2 linked regions of the Caenorhabditis elegans genome follow. The protein of the gene in region 2 purifies or fractionates together with the protein of the main gene of each other region. This does not show direct contact. Each region holds a gene or a part of one and is shown on either strand. Other genes may lie near its edges.

Region 1 (2,803 bases), on a different chromosome or scaffold from region 2:
GAAAAAAAAGTTTTAGGTTTGAATTCGAGAAAGTGTATTTTTTCTTAGTTAAATTCACTGAAAATCCGTCAAATTCTCATAATTTCAGTCCACTCAATTTATCAGTAGATGTGGCAATTTAAACCGTAAAATTCTTACATTTTCAACGAATTCATTTTTTCTTCCAAATTATCGGTCATTTTTCTGGCGAAAATGTTCTTACCAAGGGAAATTGCCAGAAAATTGAAAAGAATAAGAGAAAAATCATACGAAAAGAAACATTTTGTTATAACACTCTATTTTTCAGCAGAAATTAGCAAAAAAATCGCACTTTAAACGTTAATCTCTACTTTTAAGTGAAAAACAACCAAGAAAATCTAAAAATGAGCCAGAAGCTCGTCAATTAGAATGCCGAGTACGCAAACACTTGATATTGCGTACTTCGCCGACTACAGTACTCCAACAGAATTTATTTCGAAATATTTGATTTCCTTTACGGAAAACTTGAGAAAATAATCATAAAATTGGTTAAAATTCAATATTTCACTGATAATCGACAGAATAAGAAATTAATTCAAAGTATACACATAGTTACAATTAAAAATATATCACAAATTGCATAAATTCAAGTGGAAATTCAGAAATCAATATAAGCAGTAATCTTGATGGCTCCATTGTCAGCAGGTTGGTCAATTCGCATTCCGAATGTATGATTCCGTGAAGAAACTGTCACATCAAAGTTTTCTCCGACTTTTACTTGTCCATATTGAGCTTCCAGCAGGAATTTGCATGGGATTTCGTATTGTAGCCGAGAACGAGTGACCAGCTGTGTGTAAAGTTGGCCTCCGTCGCTGTGAAGAATGAGATCCCTGGAAAAATTAAGGTTTTCAGGGAGTTTTCTGGCATAAAAAGTACCATTCGATGCCTCGCATCTCTTCCCATTCCGATAAATCTTCATTTCTGTTGTGAAAATCGGCGGCAAATCGAGTTCGGTTGATGATGTAGCCGTTTCGGTCCTCCTCGTTCCCATTATCGGCCATTTTTGCTGAAAAATTCAAATTTTTACTCGAGTTTTGGGAGAAAAGGTGAAAAAACCTCAAAAATGTTGGTTTTCAGGGGGGGAAAAGTGGCAAATTGCACAGTTTTTACTAGAATTTAGCGTAGATTTTCAAATTAAAAGCAAAAAACTATGGAAAAAGCAAAAAATTCGCTGAAAAACGGACAAAAAAGACTTTTTTTTCAAAATGCGCCGCCGAATTCGAAAAAATGATGATTTGTGCATTTTTGCGTCGCGGTGTACTGCGTACTTTTGAAAAAACTGCGGGAAATTTGAATTTGAATTTAATTTGCAGGAATATCTGCTTGACTTTAGCGTGTTTTATTGAATAATTCATCTAATTTTGAAGATTATTGTAAAATATGAATAAAAACGACAAATTTTATATATTTTCTGTGTTTTCCTATTGTGCATTTTCAGAGATTATTCGCTGGAAACTTGGAAATTGACTTTATTGGGCAAAAAATGTTTATTAATCGACATTAATACTGAAATGATACGTAAAAATTGAAATTCTCAAGATTTCTTCGTCATTTGTTCGTTAAAATCCACTTTCTTGACGATTTTCTTTAATTTTCGGGCTTCTAAAGTGATTTTCAATTATTTTTCAAATTCCCACACATTTTCTAATGTTCAAAGTGTATTTTTTTTTCTTGGTAGCTTGAAACCTCTGAAAACCTCTGAAATCCACCGAAATTTTTCTTCCAATTCGAATTTCGCGCGCATTTCACCGTTTCGAGTCCAATGGAGCGCACTTGCATTATTTTCGAGACATTGAATTTTTCGCCTATTTTCCTCGGTTTTTCGTCATTTTTTCTGGATTTTTCTCATTTTTCCAATGTTTTTTCGAGTTTTTTGATGAAAAAATCGATTTTCTTGATTTTCAGACCACCGGAAATGTCGAAAAGTGAGCATTTCGTCAGTAAAGTGAGTCGGAACCTGGGAATTTCCGTAAATAATCCAGAAATTCAGGAAAACTGGCAACATCTCATCATGAAGCCGGGACCATCGAATTTGGCACTTCCGACGACTCAAAAATTCCGACAAACTTCGAATGGAAGGACAATGAAGCAGACTTGGACCTGCGGGTGAGAAATTTCTGGAAAAAATCGAATTTTTTTCAATTTTTTCAGAGTTTGCCGGAAGGAATTATCGTCAAAACGGAGTTATACAGAGCATATGAATATTCACAACAAATCACGGCCATTTCAATGTGAACATTGCGTTTATGCTGCAGGTTTTGGCGGAAATTCGCGAAAAAACTGCCTAAAAATTGATTTTTCAGCCTCCCAAATGACTCTACACCGTCATAAACTCCGAAATCACACTCCAAAAGCTGAATGGGGATATCGGTGTCCCTATTGTGATGATGCGTACATGGAACCTGCTGGATATCAGCAGCATGTCCAGTAAGTGGACGGAAACCTGGAAAAATCGATGAAAAATGGCTCAAAGCTCATGGGAAATTGAAAAATTCGGCCAATTTTCACCCAAAAAATTCGAGAAAGCACTGATTTTACACGTAAAACCCAGGAGTTTCATCAATTTTCCCTTTTTTTTTCGCGGAAAAGCCGAGATTCGGTGAAAAAATGGCTGAAAAGTCGATAAAATCTGCAATTTTTCCCGTTTCCGACGGGAAATTCAGCTTAAAATGGCAAAATTCATATTATTTTTTTTCTATTTTTGGCGGGAAACTGAAGAAAATTCGAAATTTTAGGTGAAAAAAATGAAAAAACCGCAAAAATTTCCAGATTTTTCGGTGAAAAA
Region 2 (5,097 bases):
TCAAACAAATTGGATAAGAAGAAAGATGGAAAAAAGGAGAAATAATGTCGAGAAGGTTGAAGCACTGAAGTAGACTATAGCACTTGAGAGAATAAAATGTGATTCATTTCTGTTCTGTTTTCAGCGTAAATTTATTGTTAAAGCTAGGGGTGTTGTGTGGGACGTGATGAGCCACCCCATAGCAACCTTAGCTATTCAAAAAACGTTTCCAAAATGCCATTCGAAAAAAGTGAAATAGCGGGCGAATGTTGAGGCGATGGAGAGGGATAGAATCCGGGTTGCGCGGCAATTGCGTTATTATGGGAGAGATCACATAGTTTCTACATCTTTTCACTAAAATTTAATGAAAAATATTGGGAAAACACATCTCTGCCTGAAATTGTAGAATTACCCGTCGGCAATCGCCGCGCACCTTTTGGTGGAATCAGGGGTGCCTTGTGGCTGATGTGGCTGTAAACTGATGACTAAAATCAAATATAACACATTTGAAGTTGCAAGCAATAAAAATCACATAATTCTTTATTCGGACAAGTTTCATTTGGATTTCAATGGCTTTTCTTTACTCTTTGGCAGTGCTCTATCATCAAATATTGGGATAGCTTCAGCAATGGATTTGTGGAAGAGAATTGAATCGTCACGAAACCTTAAAATTTTTTTTTTTCGGGGAGTAGTTCCAAAACTTACTTCAAAACTGCATCCGCGTGTTTCCCCTTCTGCTCATTAATCGACTTATTGATAAAGTCAATAACCTTCTGTCTGCACTCATTCCTCCATGTCTGAGCATTTCCCGCCGCGAGTTCGGCTTGCTCCGTTCGCTCCTTATTCTGCTGACTGATTGCGTCGTCGTAGGTTTCCAGCGAGAGCCAATAAACTGAAATTTTTTATTTAGATTCATATTATAGACCCTTTTATTCTTACTCTTTCGAAGCCTTGCGTACTCCCAATAGTCGACGCCAATGAATTTTGTCAACGCCGACAAGTTTTCCAGATGCCTTTGGACTTGCTTTGCTTGTATGGAATCCAGATTGAGCAAGGTTTGGATAGCCGGTTCTAAGCTCTGAAATTTGTGTCCTTATTATCAGGTGCCATTCCATAAGCCAAAAAATTGGGGAGCCTAAGCCTGATTACCTGGGCTTAAATGGTTTATTTGAAAAGCCTAAGCCTACATTTTAACATTTAAAAGCCCTTAGCCTAAATTGTTAAGCCTAAAAATCCAAGCCTAGAAAATATACCAAATTTCTTAGGTGCAAAAAAGTCGTTCCAACTTCCTCGATTTTCAACAGGATTCGCTCTAGAAACTGAATGTCGCGTCACTTTTCTGATCAATTCTGCAACTAAACTCACATCCATTTCTTTGGGGTCAACCTTCGTACCCAACTTTCTTCCTTTCTGATTTATCGCCTGATACGTCTTTAGATACTGCCCAGCGTACTGATAATTCGTATCAGCTTTCATAAGTTCCTGATTCTCAACGAACATTTGAATCAGTGCCTGATGAAGTCGATCTGCGGCTTCTTTATAAGCTTCAACTTGATTGCAAAGCTTCTTCACGTCATCAGTCATCGAAAACAAGCGATTCTTTTTCTTCAGAATCGACGAAAATACACCGTGATTTGGATGGTCCTGAAAACTCTCTTTTTTTTTCGGTTTCGGATTTCGGTTTCGGAGGCATCCAAAAACTTACAGCTAATCCATAAAATAATTTCTGAGCGATTGGCTTTTCATAGCAGCTACTCGTACTCTTCTTGTTTGCCATTAAAAATATAAAATAACTGAGATTGAGATTTCATGTCTGATAAACAAGTATGTTTGTCATCATAAAATGTGTCACGTAACAAAGCAATTTAAATTAGTAATTTTTTGTTTTATTTTTAACATTTTTTAGAAAATATTTGTGATTGAAATTTTGTGAAAAAATTTGAAATTTTTGCTTACTATTAGCTCCGTGTTTTACCAGTTAAATTGCTCCAAAGGCGGTTTTTGAAATTTTCTGTGGAAACTTTCTATTCAACAAAAAATCTAAACAGTTCTCTGGAAATTGTTCTATAGTTTTATGTATTATATTATTTAAAATTTTTATTATTTTTTTATTATATTATTTTAAAATCCGGGTTTGCAGATTTTATCATTTTTAAGATTAATATAAACCTACTGATTGACAAATTCCAAAATCTTAAATTTGTTTAACTGTACGCTTTTTAACATTTTCATACTTCTTGAACAATTTCAAATCATTTTTCTAGACAAATTTGCATGAGGCTTTCCCTATATATGTATTTTGAAAACTAAAATATAATATAAAGCGTTTATACCTTTTAACTACAGTATCCAAAAACATGATAAATATAGAAATTTGGATAACTTTTTGCTTTATTATGAAGCAATTTCATTCAGAGTCCAAATTTTAATTCTCCCACAATATTCAATCAGTGGCCGCTTACACATTAGCAGTGAAATGTTAGTCAGCAACTACATATCCTGTGGTCTGAGATAATCTGTACATGGAAAAATTAATCTAATTGTATGTAAGTGTCAAATCTTTCCCTCTTTGAATATGATATTTGATCCTTATGATTCAAACCAAAACGTTTCCCTTCTTTTCCTATTCATATGATTCACGCCAACCCCAATATCATTATAATTCGATTAAAAACAGACCTATATAAGTTCCTTCTTTTATATTATATTATATAATACCAATGCTTCCTTTCTAGATGTAGACCGCTATCTTCCCCTTTTCTTCTCTTTAATTGTAATTCAGTATTATATTCTTCTAAATAAATTAATCTCAAGAATTCATTTCTTGATAGTAAGTAAATAAAATAAATAATTCAAGCAGAAACAGACGACTATAGCATGAAGCACCCCCGGAAACCAGCAGAGGATGCAGAAACAAAGGTTGAGCCAAACTGACAGAGAGCATCTTTCCTCTTTCACGTAGACGGCGATTGGCGGAAAAATTAAAATGAGCAGAATGTAACAACACGGGCCGGTTTCTTTCATTTCAGCAAGATAGTGTTGCACAAAATATGAAAAATTAAGTTGTTTGGACAACCTTATATACTGGAGGAGTCTGTTAACGGTCATAAACCGGTGCCACAGCTTATGGTTAAACATCATGCAAAAACACTTTGATTGTGTGCTAAAGCATTTATTGAGTCGTTGCTGTGCCAGACGACGAGAGTCTTACTTTCGTCCGGCGCCAGCAGGCAAGGTCTTTCTCGACTGAGGATGTTATTCTCTAGTCGGCTTATATACTCGTGAGGGCGTGACGCTCCCTGCTCAGAGGCCGCGTGGGCGTTAGAGTCATGCGCTTTATGCACGTCTCCAAAGTCCACTCAGTGCAACATGAGAAGTGATCATAGAACACTTCCACAAGTCTATAAACTTTCAGCATCCGTGAAGATAAACTTTTCTTGATTTCAGATATTTTTGTTTAATAATTTGAACTGTAGATTTAAGAAAAAGTAAAATAAGTGCAAGATTGCTTTCTAAAGGGATCTCGAACTTAACACAATTTGGACTTCTTGCTGAAGTTATGAATTGATGGGTTTACCCTGCAACTGAGCCAACGCAACATTTTCAGTGCAAAAAACACATTTTTGGTTTTTTTTATTTCAAAAAAATATTTATAACTATCAACAATGTGACTAAAATAAACTTATAAATTATTTTTTCAGCAACTAGTAGTCTGATTCAGAACTATCGTCTTTTTCATCCGAAACTTCGTCCGGTTCCGTTGGATTGCCCATTAGCTCAGCTATTTTTCGAATTTGCTCTATTTCTGGAAAAACTTTATTGAATTATTGGGACTAAACTTTTAAAATTAAAAATCAAAAATCAAAAAACTTTTTTTAAATCGATTTTTCTACATACCATTTCTTGAATTGAGTATCCTTTTTCCTACATAGCAAAGCTTTTTAAAAGTTCAAATTTGTTTGTAAACCTTCAATTAAAAAAAAAATTTTTAAGACTAGCGCACAAAGTGCGCTATCCCTTCGGGAGTGGGGATAGGGTTATTTCGCTCTAAAGTATCAACAAGGTAGCTGGCGCAGGTTCTCGGCTTTGCCTCAAACCTGTGTTGGGGTTAAGTGTGTTCACCTTGAAATTCAAAATATATTCCAAAGATTTGTTTCTAATTTAATATTTTGAAAAATCATTTAGCGGCTCCGGCGCTTTAGTTTTCAGTTCCTCTAAGATTAAAGAAATATTCTAAGGAGTTGTTTCACATTGAAATATTCTTAAAAATTATTTGGGCGCTAAGTTGAATCTTCTCTAAGATTAGAAAAATATTCTAAGGAGTTGTTCTAAATTCAAAAATTCCTAAGAGTTATCAGCGCCTTCGGCGCTGAATTTTTCAAAGTTTCTGAAATAAAGAAACATACTAAGGAGTTGTTTCTAATTTAAAACTTTGAAGACTTATTCAGCGCCTTCGTCGCTGATTTGAACTATTTCTAAGATTGATGGAATATGCTAAGGAGTTGTTTCTAATTTAAAAATTTTGAATAATTATTTAGCGCCCTGGGCGCTGAATTTTCAGTTTCTCTAAGATGAAAGAAATATGCTGAAAAGATTTTTCAATTTTAAAAAGAAAATGTAAAAACATAAAAGATATTTCGAAAACTTTGATGAGGAGATGAAATGTTAGTTTTTTTTCATAACTTTTTCATTTTTAAAGCTGGAAAAAAATCTTACATATTTGAATTCAGCGTCAAATTCTGAGTCTATTAAAAAAAACAGAATTAAAATTAAACTTAAACAAACCAATTAACAAACGCTCAAAGTTGAAAAATCAAAAATCAAAAAAGGCATTATTTTTCTATTCGGTCGATTATCTCTGTGATGTATGACTCGATTTTCAAAATTTTTTTCGTCTCTCGCTTAAGAAATCTTCAAGGTTTCATATATTTGGCTCAGAATCAGAATAGCTCAAACGACGGCAAAGTTATGAGAGGGAAAAAAAAAGTTTTTGAACAAAAAATTACAGTACACCTACCGTTTACCACCTACAGTACCCTACCGTTTATCACATACAGTACTCCTACAGTATAATATAGGAAGAAGGCAGAAACATCTCAAATCTCAAAAACCCAATAC

What was found.
Region 1: the proteins of Y37F4.1 (region 2) and Y59A8B.12 fractionate together in Caenorhabditis elegans (co-fractionation; one large-scale study listed by BioGRID). This does not show direct contact.

What each region holds. Positions count from the first base shown.
Region 1 is NC_003283.11:18,085,200-18,088,002, forward strand, and holds Y59A8B.12 (MATH domain-containing protein), read right to left. Parts: upstream 1,026-2,803; 5' UTR 1,020-1,025; coding exon 895-1,019; intron 849-894; coding exon 617-848; 3' UTR 510-616; downstream 1-509. Other genes in the region: slr-2 (Synthetic with Lin-35/Rb), read left to right, coding at 1,934-1,963, 2,009-2,124, 2,170-2,273, 2,322-2,445.
Region 2 is NC_003279.8:10,856,207-10,861,303, reverse strand, and holds Y37F4.1 (BAR domain-containing protein), read right to left. Parts: upstream 3,218-5,097; 5' UTR 2,659-3,217; intron 2,496-2,658; 5' UTR 2,313-2,495; intron 1,793-2,312; 5' UTR 1,757-1,792; coding exon 1,685-1,756; intron 1,624-1,684; coding exon 1,345-1,623; intron 1,058-1,344; coding exon 919-1,057; intron 872-918; coding exon 685-871; intron 644-684; coding exon 535-643; 3' UTR 506-534; downstream 1-505. Other genes in the region: Y37F4.5 (START domain-containing protein), read left to right, coding at 1-45; Y37F4.2 (Sec-independent protein translocase protein TatA), read right to left, coding at 3,684-3,784.